Linked DNA regions of Coturnix japonica. The protein of the gene in region 3 purifies or fractionates together with the protein of the main gene of each other region. This does not show direct contact. Links are inferred from orthologs where the notes say so. Each region holds a gene or a part of one and is shown on either strand. Other genes may lie near its edges.

Evidence for each region. The genes of interacting proteins can lie anywhere in the genome.
Region 1: the proteins of melatonin receptor type 1A (region 3) and GNAI2 purify together in Homo sapiens (tandem affinity purification; 3 studies listed by BioGRID and IntAct, with this or other methods). This does not show direct contact. The link is inferred for Coturnix japonica from reciprocal best matches to the Homo sapiens genes MTNR1A and GNAI2.
Region 2: the proteins of melatonin receptor type 1A (region 3) and GNAI3 purify together in Homo sapiens (tandem affinity purification; 3 studies listed by BioGRID and IntAct, with this or other methods). This does not show direct contact. The link is inferred for Coturnix japonica from reciprocal best matches to the Homo sapiens genes MTNR1A and GNAI3.

What each region holds. Positions count from the first base shown.
Region 1 is NC_029527.1:2,014,315-2,022,013, forward strand, and holds the start of GNAI2 (guanine nucleotide-binding protein G(i) subunit alpha-2), read right to left. Parts: upstream 4,014-7,699; 5' UTR 3,941-4,013; coding exon 3,823-3,940; intron 1-3,822. Other genes in the region: SLC38A3 (sodium-coupled neutral amino acid transporter 3), read right to left, coding at 5,653-5,757, 5,967-6,070, 6,152-6,296, 6,481-6,605, 6,696-6,796, 6,863-6,942, 7,019-7,186, 7,261-7,319 and 1 more. UniProt on the Homo sapiens protein: Guanine nucleotide-binding proteins (G proteins) are involved as modulators or transducers in various transmembrane signaling systems.
Region 2 is NC_029541.1:1,608,881-1,616,723, reverse strand, and holds the start of GNAI3 (guanine nucleotide-binding protein G(i) subunit alpha), read right to left. Parts: upstream 4,014-7,843; 5' UTR 3,878-4,013; coding exon 3,760-3,877; intron 3,285-3,759; coding exon 3,242-3,284; intron 3,167-3,241; coding exon 3,025-3,166; intron 2,610-3,024; coding exon 2,452-2,609; intron 705-2,451; coding exon 576-704; intron 1-575. Other genes in the region: GPR61 (G-protein coupled receptor 61), read right to left, coding at 4,720-5,943. UniProt on the Homo sapiens protein: Heterotrimeric guanine nucleotide-binding proteins (G proteins) function as transducers downstream of G protein-coupled receptors (GPCRs) in numerous signaling cascades.
Region 3 is NC_029519.1:55,459,059-55,465,194, forward strand, and holds the end of melatonin receptor type 1A, read right to left. Parts: intron 3,664-6,136; coding exon 2,795-3,663; 3' UTR 292-2,794; downstream 1-291.

The DNA of each region.
Region 1 (7,699 bases), on a different chromosome or scaffold from region 3:
TTGGCCCCACAGAACCAGAACTGCACAAAGGGCACCGAGAGCCACTGCAGTGCCACCTCCACCTGGCTGGGCACAATCCACACTGACCCTGAGCATCTCCAAAGCGTATCCCTGCCCGGCACATCATCCCAGTCCACAGAGCTACCCCTATAGCTCCCCCCCCACTCTGCTGGCCCTATGGCACTGTTAATGGGGTGCAGGCATGACCCCGAGCCCGCTGTGGGAGCCCATGCCGGGAGGAGTGTGGGCGCACACGTGCGGAGCCGCGGCCTCCAAACCCGGCGTTGAGTCACAGTAGCTGCAGGGAAGGCATTTTTTCCTTTCGTAATCCCTGTTCAGCAGGAGTGCTCCGGTACCTCATTAACTCTAATAACCCCAGCCGGAGCGGTGCCACCCCACAGCACCCGCAGCAGCAGATCACAGCACAGCTGGGCAGTGACGTGGCACAGGCACAGCCCTTGGGCACGTGCAGAAGCTGGGAGTGCAGCCACCAGGCTGCCATGCCATCTCTTCCAAATCCGTTCCTTTGCCTCACGACCAGCCCAATAGGCCACTGGAGCGGTCACTGGTGGCACAGGGATGTGAGTAATGGGAGACGGAAGCCACGTGGTGCTCAGGGAAGCCAGCAAGCCATATAGAGGGGACAGGGATGGGGACAACCATATGGTGAGGGGAAGCTCCCAATCCCCGGAACACACCGGCTGCCGGCCATTCAGCCCCGACACAATCCATAGGCTGAGTGCCAGGCAGCACACGCTTCCGGAGCAGGGCAGCTTCCCACTGCTGGGCAGGACAGAGCGCTTCAGGGCTGGGGTTGTGGCTCTGCACCCCAAAGCATCGCTCCCATCTGTCCCACAGGGCCAGGTCCCAATGGGCACAGAGCCCAGGGCCCCAGGGATGCAGCCATGGTTGTTCCCAGAGCATACTACAAAAACAGGAAACAATCACCATCATCCACGAGGGGACAGGGATGGGTGAGGAGGGATGGGGTCAGCAGGGACAGTCCCAAGGCACCAGCTACGTCCCAGCCACCAAATGGGGTTTTCAAAGCACTGCACCAATAGCTGGGTGAAAACCACCCAGAATAAAGGGGGGTGAGGAGGAAAGAGGGGACTCCACATTTTCCTTCCTATCTAAAAGAGCTTTAAAAATAATTGCATGTAAGAAAAGTAAGAAAAAACAAACACAAGAAACCCCACAGCAATGCTGCGTGCTTTTCCAAGCAGCTGTCGGCCCCAGCACAGAGCTGGCCACCCTCCAGCAGCACCCAGGGCTGCCCAGGCTGTGGGGTGGGCACAGACCCCATATGGGGGGGGGTTACATAGGAACAGCCCCCCCATCACATTGAGGTGTGAGCACAGTGCCACAGCCTGGACCTGGGGGGAGTAATTGGGGGTGTGCAACTTGGTGAGGGTGCAAAGCTACATCCATGGCCGCCGAGGGAGCAGATGCAACAAAACAACCCGTTGTGGGGAGGGTGTGTGGGGCTGACAGTTGGAGGGTTTGGGCTGGGCGTACTTTGGGCTGGGCACAGCCCTCTCCACACCCCCGCTGGCTTTCCGAGCTGGACAAAGCTATTCCTGTGCCTTTTTCCAGGAAAGAAGGGAGCGTTCTCCTCTCTTTCTGGCCTTGAAATCCCAGGGATGCCACATCTCTCCTGGTGTGGCTCACAGGCCCCGTCAGGTTTCCCTTAGAACCATCACCCCTGTTAAAGCCCTGCACCTCCCTGCAACCCCATGTCACCAAAGGGCTGCAGCAGAGCGTGGGGTGGGGAGCAGGGAGGAAGGAAAACCCGCGGGTGCGTGAGGCAGCGCCGGAGCTGAAAGCAGCAGCCGGTGCCTCCCTTCCTCTGCTGCTGAGCACACAGACGGAGCCACAGAGCCCAGCGCCCCCACCCTGCGACGGAACCATCCCAACAACGGGGCTGAAACTGCACCCTCAGCACTGAGCACAGCGTGCCCCAAAGAGCCCCCCACTGCAAACCCAGCCATGTGCCCTGCAACCAGCTTTGTTTGAGGGCAACATCTGCATCTGGGGCTTCCCAAACGCTTTCTAAGGCAGAGATCCCCAAGAGCGAAGCCAAGGAATCTCTCTTCTTCCTTAATGCCAAGCAGGCGGTGTGGTTTAGGGCTGTTAGCACTGTGTCCACAAAGCCCACGGGGCAGCTGCGGAGCATCAAGGAGCGCATCCCAAATGCATCCAGCTTTAGGGGATGGTGGGGGGTCTCCTCTCTGTGCTGCTGCCCACAGGTCCTGCGCCCACCGACAGCCCCTGGGGCTGCTCCATCAAACCGACACAACAGCCAGAAAGGGAGAAACTCGGGGAGGTGGGCGCAGAGCAGCAGGACGGGCGGGCAGCCCCCATCCCCCAAACACCAACAGCACTTTCAGCAGCAGCACAGAGGATTCTGCAGGACCACGGTTTCACTTCCGCCTGGAGCAGGGCAGCAGCTGGGGGCTGTGCTGTGCTCTGTGCTGTGCTCTGTGCTGTGCTGTGCTGTGCTCTGTGCTGTGCTCTGTGCTGTGCTCTGTGCTGTGCTGTGCTCTGTGCTGTGCTCTGTGCTGTGCTGTGCTCTGTGCTGTGCTCTGGGGATGCGGATGCAGCTGGGGGGGTTCCAGGACAAGCTGAGGGGCTCCAAGCACCGTATGGGGACCCACCAGGAGCCATCCCAGTGGGCTCTCAAGTCCTTTCCAGACACATTTCGGTTTAGAAAGCAGCACCGAGAGCTCAGGGCCTTCGATACTGTTTACACTTGAACAGCTGCTGAGGCAGGGGAAGGAATCAAAAAGACTAAAAAATGGAGCTGTTTCGCTCTATTTTTGGCTTTAGAAACCCACCGAGATCAGTAACCGGAGCCTCACCCTGCAACAAGGAGCACAACCACGCTGCTCCCAGCCCCGCATCGCTGCGCCCCATCCCGAGATGGGGAACCCTACGGCCTGGAGCCGAACGCATCCCTCCGAGCGAGGCCGAGCCCACGGCAGCCCCAGCAGCGGGGTCTCAGCCCCACGCGCCCGCCCCAAAACGCCGCGGGGTTCCGTCCCGAGCTGCCGGTGCTCCCGGTGCTCCCGGTGCTCTCTCCCGTTCCCCTCGCACCGATAACCCGACCCCCACGGCCCGGCCCCACCGCCGCACCCCGCCGTGGGGAAGCACCGTCGCGCTCCGCCCTTCTCCGCTCATTCCGCGCTCGTCGAGGCGGACGGTGTTGGAGCGGATCGGCCGCTGCCTGATTGCACCACGACTTCCTGCTGCTCTCGGCTTCCTCTCTTGAAGGAGGCGACGAGAAAAGACATTTTGTGCCGGCGTTTCCCCCCGACGGCAGCGGGGGGGGGCGAGGGGGGAAAGGAGGGATGCTCCTCCCGATCCCATCCAGCGCCCCGGGGCTGCATTAAGGGACCCCCATCCCCAGAGATAACAGCGAGATGGGAGAAAATAAACGCTGCGTTTCGGGCCGGAGCGGGGGGGGGCGGCTCCAAACAGCAACAGAAACAGCGAGGGGAGGGATGGGGGGATGGAGGGATGGAGGGATGGGGGGATGGGGGGATGCCCGCGGGTTCTGCATCCCACCCGGGGCCTTTGCGATGGGGACCCGGGGGCGTGGCTGACCCCGCAGCACCTCGGGTGGGAGGGCGGGGGGTTGAGAAGGGAACCCCCGGGGATGCGGGGGGTCGGCGGGGAGCTGGAAGTTGAGGGTTGTCCCAAAAGAGGGTGGGAAATCACGGGTGGGGGAATCGCGCCGGAGCCGCCCGAGGGACGGCGATGGAGGGGGGTGCGGGATGTAGCGGGGGGGACGGATGCCCGGGGGGCGGCGGCCACGCTCACCCAGCAGCAGCAGCTTCACCTCCCTGGCCGCCTTCTCGCCGTCCTCCCGCAGGTTGCGGTCGATCATGCGGGAGCGCTCGGCGGCCGCCTTGTCCTCGGCGCTCACCGTGCAGCCCATGGCGGCGCCCCTCGCTCCGCGCTCTGCCGGCACTGCCCTGCCCTGCGCGGCGCGGGCGGGGCGGGGAGGGGCCTGTGGGGAGGGCGGGGGTTCCGTCGGGGGGCGTGGAGAGAGGAAAGGGAAGGGGACGGGCTGGGTGCGCTGGGTTGGGCTGTGATGCGATGTGATGTGATGCAGTGCGGACAGATGTGGGCTGCGCCATCGGTGATCCCCGGCACAGATGTGCACAGGACCACGTTCATTCCGCAGGACAGATGTGGGGCAGGCCGTGCTGTGAGCAGGACAGATGTGGGGCAGGCCGTGCTGTGAGCAGGACAGATGTGCAGTGAGTAGCTGTGGGTCCTTTCAGGGCAGGCATGATGCACAGCGCCACGTGCCCCACAGCAGACATGCCCAGGGCACGGGGTGTCGGTGGTGGCGGTGCAATGGGACGCGCTGTGACCCAGACTCTCCTTCTCCATCCCCACCGTGGCTCATTCTGCCACATCTCACGGCTTCACAGCACGGAGCCACCCCCGGCGTCCCCGCTCCGCTCGCCAGGCTGAGCTCCCCATTGCACCCCGTTTCCCAGAGCCGTGAATCCCAAACCCCGCTTTGTCGCCGTTCTTGCTGGCGCTGTGTCCCCACTCCCAGCCCCAGCATCGTACTCGGGCCTCCCCGGACACCCGTCCGTGCTGTCCCCGCGGTCCCCCCCCCCCCGCCCCACACCGGGCACGTCTCACATTTGTATCCTTTATTATTACTTTAACGGATCCGCTCGGTCGCGCTCCTCCTGCACGGCGCTCATCCCCACATATAATTTAACAGCGCGGCGGGGTGGGGGGGCCGTGGGTGCGGGGACACCGGGGTGACACGACGAGCACCGCCCCGATCCCGCACACGGTTCGGAGCTCCCGAGAGCCGCGCGACACATTAAAAAAGAACTACTCTTATATACAGTATTTATAAAAAGCATCCCAGCCTCCACCACCCCCATATAAAAATAGGTCTCTTATTTACTTGGCGAGCCCCCGGCCCCCCCTCACCGCCTGCTCGCATCCCCCGCGGCCTGGCCCTTGGCGTGGCTGGGAGCTGCCCATGGCATGGACGGACAGACGGGTGGGTGGTGGGAGGACTGCGGGGCCGAGTGGTGCCCATCACCCTGGTGTCAGGGAGCATCCCACAGCCCGAGCTGTGCCGCCCCACGTACCTCCGTGCCCCACACCAGCACCCATGTGGTGCACCCACCCCAATGCCGGCAGCACCCGGCCCTGGCACGTGTCACCTTCCCCGAGCTGGCCCCTGGATCATCAGGTTCCCACCCAGTGGCACCGGGACCAGCCATTCCCTGGGCACCACATGCCAGCGAGGAGCTGGCAGTCAGGGGGTGAGGACAGCAGAGGACATGGGGGTGGCACGGGCACTGCTGAGGTGCTGGCCACCAGCCCTACAGACACTGCTGTCAGGACTTGGGGCCAGCTGAGGACAAGCGGGTGCCTGTGGGCCAGGCTGGCCCCGTCCCCTCGGCCCCTGGTGAGGTAGGGAAGCGCTGGTCTCCCCATTGCACAGATGAGGAAACTGAGGCGCGGAGCCAGGAGGGGTGGGCACGGTCTGGGGTCCCCCATATGCCCCCTCAGGCAAAGGGCAGGCGGCAAAGATGGGAGCCCCGGGGGGTCCTGGTGGGGACTGGGGGGGGGGGGGGGGGGGGGGGTCGGGGGGGGCAACCAGGGTGGCTAGTGGCTGCCGCCACTCCGTCCCCCCCCTGTGGCCCAGTCGGTGATGATGAAGCTGAGGCTCATGATCATGAAAAGCACCCCGAGGAGAGCGAAACAGGCAGCCTGTGGGAGACAGAGACAGAGAACAGGGTGGGGGCTGCCCCTTGTGCCCCATGGGGAGCAGGGAAGAGCTAGAGTGCCCCCACCCCACTGAGAACCCAGGAGACCCCATCCCTCCCTTGTCCCCGTGCCTTCATCCCCACATCCCCTGCGTCACCCCACAGGGCCAGCAGTGCAGTCCCTACAGCCTGGAGTGGGGACCCAGGGCTTACCAGGATTTTGGGGGTGGAGCGCAGGGGCTCCTTGTCCTTGGGCATGATACGGATGTAGAAGATGGCCGGGAAGATGAAGATGAGGCAGGGGGCAGAGGTGGCACCTAGGGCAGGAAGGGACCAGTGGGCAGGGTGAGCCCTGGGGGACAGCTGGGTGACAGGGACGGGGCAGTGCTGCCACTCACCAATCAGCCCAAAGATGCCAAGGATGGAGGGGGCAAAAATGACCAGGAGGTTGATGAAGGTCAGCAGGATCACAGCGATGGCGATGTGGCGGATCCAGCTGAAGTTCTTGCCTTGGAACAGCATCTGCTGGATAGCACGGCGCACCTGGGGACACGGGGACATGTCACACACCATCCTCAGAGCCATCCCATCCCTGCAGGGCCGTTGGTGCCTGTTAGACCTTCCCATCCTTGTCCCCAGGGCACCATCCAACTGCTGCCTCAGTTTCCCCTCACACTTCTGAGGGATGAGCAGAGCTGGCCACAGGGTGACCCATGGTGACACTCACCGGGAACAGGACGATGGGGACAGTGAGTGTCACAGCTGTCAGCACGGCCACCCGCACGCAGAGGATCAGCACATCAAAGGGGTCCACCCGGCTGTAGGTGTGCAGCAGCTCCGACTCCACGCGCCCTGCAGCACCAGGGATGTGGGTCAGCACCACCACCACCACCCCTATGGGTGTCCCCATTGTTTCCCCATGACCCTGACCCCACAGCTCACCATAGAACGTGAGGTAGCCAAAGAGGGCGGCCAGGAAGTACATGAGGTACATGACGGTGATGGAGATGTTGGAGATGCACTGCATCTTCTTCTTGGAAGGGCTGTGGGAAGTGGGTGTCAGCACGGCCTCCCCACACAACTTCCCCCCAAGCCCCACCACCACTCACTCCTTCAGCTCTGTGTAGATGGGCAGCACCTCGGGGTGACACACGAAGGCGAAGGCCATGATGGGGATGGTGTACGCTGTCTGCAGAATGTGCAATGAGTGCTGGGAACCCATTGCCAGTGCCCCCCAGGAGCCCCCACTGTGGAATCAAACCTACCTGGGAGTTGAGGGTGAAGAAGTTTGGGGTGCAGGCCTCCACCTCGGGGGGCAGTGGAGCTGCAGGGCCATCCCAGTGCTCGCCACCCAGGGAGGCGTTGATGCCAATGGTGATGTTCCCCTCTTGCTCAGGCAGCGGGCAGGGAATTTGGAACTTCTTGTAGATGACCTGGGGGGGACTCTGTGTCAGCGGGGGGCTCTGGGTGCCCCCTCACCACAGTGACATCCCTGCCCTGTGCTCACCGAGATGAGGAAGAAGACCATGCAGCTGAGCGAGAAGCCACTGGCGTAGCCCAGGTAGCCTGGGGGGAGAGGAGAGCAATGGGCACAGCCACCATCCCCCCCAAGTCCCATGCCCACTCATGCCCCCACTTACCCAGCTGCTTCATCAGGGCCAAAGGCAGGATGATGGTGACGGAGACCAGGATCACCAGGTAGTTCCCGTTCAGGTACCAGTCCCTGGAAGCAGAGACAAGGACATACTCACACCCGATGTAGGATGCAAGCTTCAGAGGACCCCTCTGCCCTCTACAGGGCTGGCACCCCTGAAATCTTTGGCCTGGCACCCGTGGTCCTCTGAGCCTGTGTGCCCAGGAATATAGGCACCCCCTTGAGGCCATGAAGCATCCCTGCACCAGCATCATCTGTGGGGACATGTGAGATGGCAGATCCAGGGATAGCT
Region 2 (7,843 bases), on a different chromosome or scaffold from region 3:
CCACAACACAACACTGTGTTCTCCTACATCCAGGGGCTGCCTGCTGGGATGGGGACACACAGCACGGAGGGCTAAGTGCTAAGGGCAGGGAGCTCAGCTGCACTCCAACAGCTGCTATGGGGTTAGAGGGAGCTCTGTGGGTCACACTGACAGGGATGCTGGCCAGACATACAGAGGGCCAGGAGTCCCTCACAGCTCTGCTGGATGCGCATGGCAGCACCACGTGCCCAGAGCCAGGGCCTAAGGGACAGCCCTCACCTCCCATGTCAAAGAAAAGGGGGTTACACTCAAACTCAGCAGCCAGGAGTCAGCGCCCTTTTAGTATTAGTTGCTGTTCTGCTCCTGTGAACAAGCACTCAGTACCTGCGTCTGCGAGTCCAACATAAAAGCAGCTGGAAAGAACAGAAGAAGGCAAAGAAAAGTCAAACCAGAGAGCAGTGCTGGCACAGGGGGAGGCGCTTTGCTGGGGGCGTGGAACCTCCCCCCACCCCTCTGAGCACTGAGGAACTCACTGCAGCCCATAGGAGCCTATAGGATCCCATAGGAGCCTATAGGAGCCCATGCTCTTGGCTTACTTGAAGTAGAGGTCCTTGAAGGTGAAGTGTGTCTCCACGATGCCCGTTGTTTTCACCCGGGTGCGCAGCACATCCTGCTGAGTCGGAATGTAGGTCGGCTGGGATATTCTATCCAAGTCGTTCAGGTAACTAAACCAGAAGAGACAACACCGGGGGGGGGGGTGTTTGGTTGGTTCCTTTTTTAGGCCGCGCTCTCGCTATGAATCTTTTATGAACTGCAGGAGAAAGTCATCACTGAATGTATTCAATGCAGACCTCAAACACGCAGCAAATAGACACGAGCTCCCACGGCTCTGCCCTCGGGGGGGTTGTATTAATTCCCCCCCCCCCAACACGACCTTGCAGTGTGTGCTGGGAGCAGTGCTGGGCAGCAGGGCAATGCAGGAGGAGCTGCTGGAGGAGCCGTGCCAAGGCTGTTATCTCTCAGGGCAATGCAAAGCAGTCAAGGTTTTTTTGCATCAAAGTGCGAGGCAATAAATCCAGCAGCTCACTTTAAAGGGCAAGGATGCATCAAACGAGGCAGCAGGAAGGAATGCAGCATAAAGAGCAGGCAGGTTCATTCACAACCTTCAGCAAGGCCAGCTGACAGCCAGGGCTGCCCCATGGTGGCTGTGGGGAGGACTCACAGCAGGTCAGGGCAGCCCACAGCCTCCTCCTGCTGCCCACCACCACATCCAGGTTCGCTGGATACAATAAAAGCCGCTGCACCCCACACTGCCTGCAGCCCTTCTGCAGCCTCCTCCACCACCAGGCTTCCTCTGTACGCTGAGGTTGCAACACTGCTTCCCCACCTCGCACCCTCATGTTTACAGAGCCAGCTACTTCCCATGCTCTGACGCCATCTGGTAAACACAAGCTTGCAAGAAGGGTGGATTCGGTTCACTTGTTTTCTTTTCTTTACGCCCTGAAATGAGGCTCTGGGAACAGAGCACTGACTGAAAGCCCACAGCACGACTTGTGTCTGCCCTGCTGCTGCTCTGAGCCTCCCCAGCTCCTGGCTCAGTAGCTGTGGGGATCCACGGCTCCGTCCCCATTGGCATCACCCCATCCATCTCACTGCAGCACTGCTCTGCAGCGTGTGCTTCCAACCCTGAGACCTCAGCCCTGCAGGGGAGCAGGAGATAAAGCACCCTTAGGAGTACCATGTACCCACAGCATCACCCACACTATCACCACAGGAAGGGCTGCAGTGTGTCAGTGAGGAAGCTGAGGCTGTAACAGCAGAGATGAAGCGCTCAGGGCTGCGTGCTGGGCAGCAGCTCAGCTGACTGCTCGCTCTGTGCATTAGCAAGGCCGGGTGCTGCAGCAGCAGCCAGCTCCTCACTGCACTCTGCAGCATTTCCTAACAGCCCTGTCTTTCTATTCAATCTGTTCTCTCATTTTCAGCTCTTTCCTCTCCCTTTGAACCTGAAGCTGCTTTCCTGCAAGCATCTCAGAAACGCTCCCCCTGCCAGCTCACCTCCCTTGATCTAAACTCAACATCCTCTGCTGAGCTGTTACAGTTTCAGAAGCGCTCTTGCTTATTGTCGAGCTGCATTGTGCTCTGTGCAGACAGAGCCTGCAGGGAGCCGAGCTGTGACTCATCTCAAGGTTCTTATAAAGCATTTCCAAACTCATTTCTCAGAGGCTTCAAACTTGGCCAGACCACGCAGAGCCACCAGGAAGCACAACCGACCCCACAGCCACCCTTCCTCCTGGGTTTACAAAGCAATGAACACGCAGCTTTCCCCACACAGAAGCAACAGCTGTTTGATAGGGACAGGAACCAAAGGAGCAGCTGCCCTCCTCACATTGGTTATCACAGCACTCACAGCCAAGCAGAGGGCAGCTCCTGCCTGCCCACCCCACCACCAGAAGGGCCCAAGGGGTCTCTTACTACGAGGCAGAGTCGTTCAGCTGGTACTCCCTGGATCTGCTGAAGCAGGCCTGCACTCCAGCATCCCTCCACAGCCTCTTGATCACTCCAGCCAGCTCGGCCGTCATCACCCCTTCCTCTGCACTTCCAGCCAACACAAACAGCTGGCGGGCATCGTCCTGCAGGGACAGGAGGGGGGGTTAAGAAAGGAAATCAAGTTTACAAGCTTAAGGATCACTGCAATAGCTGAGAGGTGAGGGAGCCTCATTTCCTAATGGAGCATTTCATCACGAGGCAGCACATAGAGGGATCAGGATGCTGCTGTGAGCCTCAGTGTGACAGCCCACACCTCCATAGGCTCGCAAGCAATGTGTAGATATGGCAAACAGAGCACAGGGACCAGCCAAAGCTGCTCAATGCTCTGCTTCTATAACACGAGGTGGCTCAGGGACACCTCAGGTTTGTGGTTAATGTTGAGCACTTACATTGCAGACAATGAGGGGTCTCCTGTCAATGCAGACACAGCCCCAATCTCCAGCTCTCATTAACACCATTCAAAGCACAAACACAGAGGGAGATCAATGAAGTACTTACAGCTCTGGCCACCTCTCCAAAGTCAATCTTTAGCCTTCCCATGGCTCTTATGATAGCAATGATGGACTGGATCGTATTGCTGTACACCACCACTTTATACTGCTTGCATTCCTCCTCCGAGTAACCATCCTCATGGATAATCCTAAAGAAAACCGAGCTGTCATTGCTAAACCAAACCAGACCGGCAGCTCAGCGGCACTTCAACCCCTTCACTTACTTCATCTGCTTCACTATGGTGCTCTTCCCAGACTCCCCAGCACCTAAAAAGGATAAATACAGAAGGAAGACCATCACGATTGAGTCAGCAGGAGGCCTGGCTTGCTTTAAAACACCCCCCACAGGGCAGCACTCCCATGGTGGCCACACCGCACCATACGGTGCGGTGCGGCCACCGTGGGAGCGCTGCCCTGGGGGTTCTGATAGGCCCAAAGCCCACAGGCCCATTGGTTCCAATAGGCCCAAAGCCCACAGGCCCATTGGTTCCAATAGGCCCAAACCCCACAGGCCCATTGGTTCCGATAGGCCCAATGCACTTAGACAGATCCCAAGCGCATCCCCACCCCCGCGGCCTACTAGGCCCAGCCCAGCCCCTGCGGCCTACTAGGCCCAATCCAAAGCCTGCGGCCTACTAGGCCCAAATCAGAGCCTGCGGCCTACTAGGCCCAATCTAAAGCCTGCGGCCTACTAGGCCCAGTTCAGCCCCGCGGCCTACTAGGCCCGGTTTAGGCCTCTCACCCAGCAGTAGTAGTTTCACCTCCTTGGCCGCCTTCTCGCCGTCTTCCCGTAGGTTCCGATCGATCATTTTACTCCTTTCTACCGCCGCTTTATCCTCGGCGCTTAATGTACAGCCCATAACGGCGGCTGGGCGGAGGCCGCCGGGCCTTCAAATGGAACGGAACGAAAAGGGACGGAGCGGAACCGAACCGCGCCTCTCCCTCAGCCGGGGCGGCTCCCACAGGCGGAACCGGATATCCGCCCAGAGCGACCGTTAGCCGCAAAGCACGCCGGGAAGCACCGTCCGACAGGGCATTTCCGCCTCGGTAAAGTGGTGCATGATGGGAGCTGAGAGGGCGGAACTTCCGGTGTTGTGTGGATGTATTATGGGAGTTGTAGTCTTGAGATGATTGCGGGGCCTACACAGCCCCCAACCCAACACATAGCCCCCCAACCCAATGCTGAGCCTCCAACCCAATGCTGAGCCCCCCAACCCAATTCTGAGCCCCCAACCCAATGCTGAGCCCCCAACCCAGTGCTGAGCCCCCAAACCGATGCTGAGCCCCCCAACCCAATGCTGTTCCCCTATCCCAATGCTGTGACCCTAACCTGATGCTGAGCCCCCAACCCACTGCTAAGCCCCCAACCCAATGCTGTGACCCCAACTCGATGCTGAGCCCCCCAACCCAATGCTGTGCCCGCAACCCAATGCTGTGCCCCCAACCCAATGCTGAGCCCCCCAACTCAATGCTGTGCCCCCAACCCAATGCTGTGCCCCCCAACCCAATGCTGAGCCCTCAACCCACTGCTAAGCCCCCAACCCGATGCTGAGCCCCCAACCCCACCGTGGAGCCCACACATTGGGTCCCCCACCCCTCCACCCCCTCCCCACGTCCCGCCCCACATCCACACACCCACACCACTCTTCCCTTCCATCCTTGTTTAACACCCGCAGCCGCACACGCTACAGCCCCGCTCTGCTCACGGTGCCCCCCCCGTCCGCTCCGTCCCTTCGGCCGCTTCATCCCCGATCTGTCCCGGGATGCGAAAATCGACGGGCGCCGGTTCCCGTTTGGGGCTGGGGGTGCCCAGAGGCGGCGGGGGCAGCTCTTGGGGGCAGCCGGTGCCCTGTAGGAACTGCAGGAAGTTCTCCTCGATGGAGCCCTCCCGGCTGGGCAGACGCAGGTCCTCCTCGGGGGGCTGCTTGAAGAAGCAGGTGAGGAGCCGGCCCAGCTCACCGCGGATCTGCCGGTTGAGGCACCCGTAGAAGAACGGGTTGGAGGTAAAGCAGAAATAACCCAGCCAAGTGACCACGGTCTCGGCCGCCGGCCCCGCTAAGGGTTGTGCACTGAGCGCCGTGTAGAGGTGGAAGGAGAAATAGGGCAGCCAACAGAATAGGAACTGGCCGCCCACAGCCAGCAAGATGGCGGCCGCTTTGCCCCCTCCAAACGTCCTTTGCGGGGTGGTGCGGGGCGCCCCCGAGCTGGTCACCATGGTGGAACGGCTGCTGAGCGACTCGGAGCGGCGCCGGGGGGTCTCCATCCAGGTGGGAGGGGGGCCGTGATGCATGGCGGCCACGCGAGCCACCTTGAACATGCTGCAATACACCACCACGATGATGAGGAGGGGCAGCAGGAAGTAGAAAGCGGCGAAGAAGACCACGAAGAACTTGCAATACGGACCACGGCTCCATTGCAACGAGCAGCCCCGGCCTGCGGGCGGAGGGCGGTCGGGGGCCAACCAACCCAACACCGGCACCAACGACGTGGCCACGGCCTTTAACCAGACCCCGACCAACACGCAGACCACCAGCCCCACCGTCATCCTCACCTCGTAGCGCATGGGGTGAACCACGTAGTAATAGCGCTCCACGTTGATGGTGGAGATGGACAGGATGCACATGCTGATGAAGCAGACGCTGAGGAACAGGTAGACCCTGCACATGGCTTCACCCAGCACCGGGCTGTCAAATACAGCCGAACCCGACAGCATTTCCAATGGCATCAAGGTGAGAGCGGCCAGGAAATCCACCAGGCACAGGTGGAACACGAAGACGAACTTCCTTAGTGCCGGAGTCTTGACGATGACGGTCATCACGGCCGCGTTGCCCACGATGGCCGTCAGGTCGATGAGCAGCATGAAGAACAGCCCCACTGATCTGGAAGCCACGTCTTTAGCTCTGCTGTCTGTGCCGTTAGGGGGCATGGGGGCTCCTGGGGGTGGCTGTACAACCCAACGGGACCTAAAGCCGCTCCAGCCCCATAGGGAGGGCTCCACGCTGCGGCCGGTCGTCCATCCTTAGGGCTGATGGTGTGGGGTTGTGGGGCATCGCTGTGTGCTCCGATGGCCCCGCGGTGGGTCCTGCAGGGCTCAGTGCACCCGAAGGTGCCCCCAGACCCAGCTCATCTCCCCGCTCCTCTCCGCCGGGCAGCGCTGTGCGGCTGTGGGGAGGGGGAGCCGTCAGCGGGGGGCGCACAGGGGCGGCAAATGGGCCCCATGACACCCCCCACACCTTGTCCCCATCACACTTGTGATGCCCTCCATTATGACCCCCCCCAAACCCCCTTTATTCCCCCAGGGGAAGCCCCCTTGCCTTGAAAAAAATGAGCGATTCTGGGGCTCGAAGCCCCCAAATCCCTGCTTTCATCCCCAATTGCTGCATCGTTACCCACGTGGGGCCGCACCAGGACCACCCCGGGGACCCCCCTGCTCCTGGAGGCCCACATAGAACCCCCCATCTCTGCCCCTCCCCGCTGGGTGCCACCCCCCTATAAAGGCACCGGGGGGGCCTTACAGAGCCCCCCACCCTCCCATCCCCACCCAGGGGGCTCCCATTCCTCAGGGTGTGGGGGGGATCCCTCCCTACACGACCACCCCCCCCCGCCCCACACCACGCACACCCCGGGCATCGCTCCGCCGGTACCGCCGCACTTACCGGGGGGGTCCATGGGCCCGAAGCGGGGCCGGGCGGGGATGCTCGGGGCCGGGGCCGGTGCTGCTGGAGCCGCTGCGGCGTGAGATGCTCCCGCACCGCCGGGATGTTGGGTCCTAAACGCCTCCAGCCCGCACCGCAACGGGAGCCCCCGGCCCCAAAATGGGCCGCTATGGAACGGGGAGCAGGGCCCGGTGTGGGGGGGGGGATGGGGGGGCGGGGGGAAGGAGTGGCTACTTCCAATGGCCCCAAGGGATGGGGAGGGGGGGATGCGGTCGGGAAGGGATGCAGGATGCTCGCAGCATCCCCGTGCTTCCATTCCTGCTGCCCACAATGAGGCCGGGGGGGATGTTGGTGGGGATGGGGGCATCGCTGTGGGGCTGGGGGGGTCAATTGTGGGTATGAGAGGGTCCTCTGGGGGATGGAAGGGTCAGAATGAAGAGTCAGTGTGGGGATGGGGGGCGATGTGGGCCGTGGTGAGGATGGGGGGTCACTGTGTGGGTGGGGATGTTGCCTCCATCCTCGCCCCCCAGGTGGGAGGTGTTGGGGGGTGGGTAAAGCTGTGGGGTGCCGTGTCCCCCCTATGGGCCCTATGTGCTATGCAGCCCCTAAAATAGACCCATCTAAACCAGGTGAGAAATGCAGGACCTCGAATGAACCCACCCCACAGCACCCACAGCTGTGTGCCCCCCCCTAAACCCCAGCATTGTAGGGGGGGGGTCTCAGTGCAGAGTGGGACCCCAACCCCTGGATGCTGGGAGTGGGACCATCTCTGCCCTACACCCCATGAACCCAAAGCATTGCATGGCTCCATGACCCCCCAGATGGGGGGAGACCCCTACCAAGCCCAGGCCTTTCTTTTGCCCCCCCCCCCCCAAAACCCCTCATGAACCACTTGAACCCACAGCACTGTCACCCCGTGCCCCCCCCACCCCCCCCTTTACCCTGTCGCCCCACTGCTGAGCACCCCAGGGTGTTGGGGGGGGGGATGCAAGGGATTAAGAGCCGGATTACAGCAGGGAAATTGAGGACGAGCAAAGGACAGACAGAAATCCCCACCCCAACATCCCGGGGGGGGGCGGTGGGATATAGGGGGGGGTCTGCGGTGGTAGCAGCAATGGGGCTGAAGGGGGAGGGGGGGCACTATGGGGATACCCCGCTCTGCATTGCAAG
Region 3 (6,136 bases):
TCTTACATGAATCACTGTGACCCCTTCTTAGAGGAAACAAAATCTGAATAGAAAAAATCACTACTACAGAGTAAAATTACAGTATTCTTTCATTTTTGTGCTTGGTTGTTTTGCACACCCTTATTAACGTGTCTCAGAACGTCAGTAAGAGTAGAAGTAATCTGAAGAATCTGAATCATATTAATTTAAACTACATTGTAAAGTCTAACACACTTCCCTCCCCCAAAGAAGAACAAGAGATTAATTTCTTAAAGTTATTGCTATATTTATCAGCTCATAACATCACCACCATGCACAATTCCGTGATTTAGATATAATACAAATATTTCAAAATATCAGATCTGAAAAAATGCTCTCCATTTCAATTACAGGCCTATTCAATAAAATATATACCTTTGGTATAATATGTTTTATTGCATATAGCAAGCCATTTTCATTATCATCAAAAATATACTTTAGCACTTGTGAATTACAGGGGACCAATTCCTCAGAAAACCCACAATTTTGAATCAGCTCATAAATACATAGACATGATAAGCATATACATTTTCTGTTCTCAATGGCAAGTGAAAAATATTTGAGAATTCTAAACTTACTGATGATTAAGCTTACTGTCTTTATGCTAATTTATTAGAAGCATTGTAAGACATCATTTTCATTGAAAATACACTTTAAATAAGGCAAGTTTGTAAGAATTTGAATAGTGCTTTTTCTTACATGAAGAATTTATTTTCTTATACGGTGGTCATGCCTCCCTCCCTAATCTGAAATCAACACACACAAAGCAACAAAACAGAGCAAAGCATCCTCTGAGGATGAGATCACAGTGAAAAAAACTGTGATATAGTTTATGCTGTTAATCATGTTGTATCATACTGCATCATATGATGATACCACAATAGAACAGAGCTGGTTATTTACACAGTGGTTCTGACTGGCAAATGTAAACAAAGATGAGTCAAGCATCTCAGTAATGCTTTGACTGGCTAGTTAATCTGCAGAGTTTTAGATGTTCATTAGTTCCAGCTTGACATAACCAAGTGAGAACATGAGGCACCTATGTTTAAGGTAAGAAGCTGATCATTGACAAAATGTCAGTGGGGTTTCAAGTAAATATGAATATGTTCTCTTTAGTTCATTACTAATATTAAGTCAAATGTACACTAATCTATGATCCAAGAAAGAGGAGTTGCTGTTAGATTTCTAGACAGATTAAGGAATTATACAAATATAGTGTGGTTGTTGGTTTCTAAGACATATAAATTGAAGAAAAACTCCAGCACAGCAAGTAATGAATTGCTTAGATAAGTCTGCTTTTCAATACAGAAAATTTGTACAGGCTATTTAGGAACTCTTAGTACAGTTGAAGTGACTGGAATTGGCTTGGAAAAGCTCAGACGTAATTGAACGTTGTTACAGGTATGAACACTTGAGTACTAAAAGGTATCACAGTTGCAGTATCTTTCCAGAGTTAAATATTTCTTCTCTATAAGCTCAGCTTGAAGGTGAATCCAATTGTCCTCCTCTATCAGAGGGCATATTTTTATCAACAGAGATGCATTGTTGGAGGAGACATGCTGTCTAGGTATACTTTGACATTTCACAGTGTGCTTCCTCTCAATGAAAAGGCACCTGCTGTCTGTGGAAAGTCCACATAACAGGTCCTGTCCTGAGAGTCATGTATTTCTCCTTCCAGCAGCAACATAAGTAGCATTTTCTCTTTATTATTTAGATGTGTTTAATTGTTCTAGGTGAGTATTATTTTTATAACTGTGGTAAACTATGATTATTTAAAAAAGCTTATCTATGACAGATTACAAAATAACCTATAAATCTTATACTATGACCAGGAGATCAAGTTGAGAAAGATGTCACATGTTCATTCTGTAAATATTTGTAATTTCCCAGAGTGTAATGAGATTATGACTCAACTAATCAGACAAAATGCCATTCTTACCCACTGTCACTTTTAAAAGCATAAGTCTTCTGACAAAGGCTCAGAAATTCCTTACCACACAGAAGTGAGAAATACTGTTTCTTCCTTGCTTAAGTTTTTAGGACGTGTCTCTCCAGAACCTCTTTTGGGGAACTTTCCAATTTTGTGAATTACTATGTCTTCAGAAAGAAGTGGTGTTTTGTATTTTTCTCCACCTCTCACAAATGGCTTGAGAAGATGAATCATATCACTTTTCTTTCTTTCCAGTCTATCCTCCCCTCTCTGTAGCTTTGATAAGAATAACTCTGTTACATTTCTTCCCCTGAAAACTATTTTGAGTTTGAGAAGTCGGTTGGGAATGCCATTGCTCGGAGGCCTGGTAAGGTTTAAAGTAAATAATTCTCAGAGCATGTTCCCTAAAATACGACCAGATTTCATCTTTCAAAATAACTTATCTGAGAGTTTTGAACTGGGATTGTTACTTGGCCAAAAGATGCAGGTAGAGAGCAGTGAGAATAGTTTTGTGGCTTCTTTCATTGAGCCAGGTAATATGGATATTTCTATTTCATTCTATCTTTGCTATCTCCGTTTGAGAGGAGAAAAAAAAAGTATCCATGCACAATTTGTATTGTAATTCCCTCAAGGATATCACTGTGTTATTATATGAGAGATCTACCACTGTATAACAATATCTTAAGTAAAGACTCTGTAACTTGAGTTCCCAAATATCATGCAAAGATTTTGATCAAAGTGCCTTCACTGTAGAATAGAGAGTTCAGTATAATATCCAACAGTAGGTCTAATGAAACAGATTCTTTATTTGGATGCTGTGGAGTGAAAGCAATAAGGTTCCCATTTTCACACAGAGTCCACCTTCACTTGATTGTTGTTTGTAATCAGCGGAGAAGGTTTACTTCTTATCCTGTCTGCTGCATCATTAGAACTGTCCTGGAAAAAAGCTTTTGCTGTACAAAAACTGACAATAATTTTCTTATATTCTCTTCTGAAGTTCTGGTTCAGGAGTCCATATATGATGGCATTAAGGCAGCTGTTGAAATATGCCATGTAATAGCTAGACACAAACAACCACTCTGGGATCCTAGGTATTATGGTTTCTGGGTCCACAGCCACAGCAAGGCCAATGAAGTTCAAAGGAGCCCAGCAGACTGCAAACAGTACAAATACCACAAACATGGTTACAAAGTTTCTGAAGTCATGTGGTTTCAGTCTGGGGTTGTTGTCTGGTTTAACCCTTCGTCTTACCTGAATAACAAGGATCCATATTCTCAAGTAACAGTAAGTAACTATGGCTATGGGAAGCATGAAGTGGAAAAACACCACTGCTATTGTATATGCTGAACTCACAGACTGTGCAAATGTACACGAGTAAATCCTGGGGTCATACTGTAAAGATCCCACAAACAGGTTGGGTACAATAGCAACAACTGTTAGGACCCAGATAAGAGCAACATAGCACAAAGAATTCTTGTCGCTGTACAGCTTGTCATATTTGAGACTGTGGCAGATATAGCAGTATCGATTGATAGCAATGCCAGTAATATTGAAAATCGACCCAATGACGCTTAATCCCATCAGGAACCCACTTATCTGGCAGTGAACGTTTCCCATAGTCCATCCATTGTGAAATACAGATGTGAGGACCAGTGGATATGGATAGATTGCTACGACCAAGTCTGCAATTGCCAGGCTTACCACAAATATATTTCCTGTAAAATAAATATAAAAATACATGTATTAGTCTCTCATTTGCTCTCTTCCATTGCTTCTGATCTTAATATATTAATGACCAGCCTTAGTGGAACACTTTGTATTTAATTAATTTCTAGTTTCTAGGTAGAAATTATTTGTTCACAGCTTCTCTTCTTTTTTTTAAAAACAACTACTACATATACATATATGTGTCATGGTATTCATGTCCATATCAACAAAAATATATAAATGTATGCATGTACATGCATGTGTATACAATACAATTACAGGTATATACACGTGTTTGTGTATAAGCGCATGTTAAGATTACTCACAGAAGATTAAATTTAAGCTATTGCAACCTCTAAGAAAATATACTACTAGCTCATTAATAATCCAAATCAGCGTTGGTAAACCATTTTATGTATTTACCTTGAGCAGAAAAAAATAGTTATTTAGCTAAGGATTCTACTTATTCCCCTATTTTCAAAGTTTTGATTCTAGCATGAAATACGATGTTTGGCATTTATACTCATAGCAGTCGGGATAAATGGCCTCAGAAGATAGTTTTCTTAGATTTTGTATCTAGATTTAGAGATGTCCCTCTTTCTATGGTCTCCATAGTTTCTTCTTTTGCCTGTGAATTCACTGCCAGGCTGAAATATGCTTATCCTGTAGGCTTTAGCACAATTCCATATCATTTCAGTAGTAACATCAGTGCTCCCTGAAGCAGAAGCTCTGTGTTTTAATTAGGAATTCAGAAATTGAAATGGGACTAACAGTTGGTAGTGGTGAGTTTCCACTGCTTCAAATGCTGTATATTTAAAGAAATAGCTCAGATAAATTCTAGATGGTAAAAAGAGATGGGACCTTGTTTAAAGAATACTTGAAGGATCCTGTTTACATTTGCTTATAGATTTTTTGCACAGTGAAGACTGCTCATCTCAGACCTTTATGCTATCCAGCACTTCTTCTTCTGGTGATCTACATGAATACTGTCATTATTGTCAGTATTGACACACTTGATACAAAAGGTTCAGCTATTGATAAGAGATATGTCAAAAGAAGCATGGGTTTACTTTTTTTTTTTTTTTTTCCTGATTTGTTTTAGAATAGCATTGAAAAACAAAAAAACAAAACAGTCTAGGAAGTGTAGGCCCTAACAAATTTGGGATCCATGCTAATTCCAGCTGTTCTTTCCAGTAGACTGCCGTAGACCCCAAAACCCTGAAAAGCGAGAAAAAGACAAGCTGTTTCATAAGGCACTGGGAGGCCAAGCTGGGAACCTATCTTTTCAGAAATTTGTGAACCTGGAAACCAAACTCTCTGTGTTCACCTGGCTAGCAGTCAAGTCTAGCCTTGGGCTAGAAAACTACTGGGAAACCAAATGCTTTCTTGCATTTAACTTGCCTTTTAGGAATGCTTGTCTTCAGATTTGAGTTCTGATTCATTTTCCTTGCGAGTATAGAAACTTCAAGTAAAACTTGTTTGGATTTAGTTTGTTTGTTATGTGTTTTGAAGTCCATTGTTTCAGATTCTGATGTGGGATCTGAAATAGTAATGACTTTTCACATGTTGCATAGCTCTTGCTTTAAAAATAGGAGCCTTGATTTAGGCATCCACTGTTACTGGAAAATACTCAATGAAATTCCCATATATTTAATGGTATATTGTGAAAATAAAAATTCTTATGTTTGTGGAGCATTGGTATTGTAGTGGTGAGTATCATAATACATAAATAAATAAATAAGATATAGGAATAAATCAGCTTTTATCCTCAGAGTTGGGTTTGAACAGAAATAATGAAATGAAGTCTAAGAAAGAAATAAGTAAATGAAGTCTGAAGTTCCATGTTGAGCTGTTTTCAAAAAATCCAGCCACATCATCAAAGTCCTTGGTAGTTCTTCACTGAACAAAAACTAGTCTTCTTCCTAAGAGGTTAAAATTAGGTTGCTGGGAAAAAATTTGATTTATGTAAGTGAAGAACTCGTTACCAAGCACCAACACAAGTTGGCTGAAAAAGAATGTAGAGTTTAGCTTCTTGTCTTTTCAATTTAATAAGTTTAAGCAGCTGTTGTTGTATGGATGTATGCGAGAAGACAATCTAATGATCATTGACTTTATTAGCCTGTTCTTTTAAATGCAATGTAAAGCAATGTTCTGTTAAATACTAAAAAAAGGAAATTATTCTGCTCAGCAAACAAGTAGCAACATCAGAACTACCTGCTAAATTAAAAAAACAAAACAAAACAAAACAACAACAAAACCTGCAGTAAAGCAATAGAAAATAAACAGATACTTTTCCAGACAACTCAACTTCTCAAAGAGCACAACATAAAATGAATATAAAAATTGTGACCTTGGCAAATTATAAAAATACATGGGTTATTTATTGTCCCAGTGTCAAAATTAATAACTTGGCATCAAATAAGAACTATATGATGTTGTGTCAATGGCAAGTAGCTACTTGCTAAATTACTGTGTGGGTTA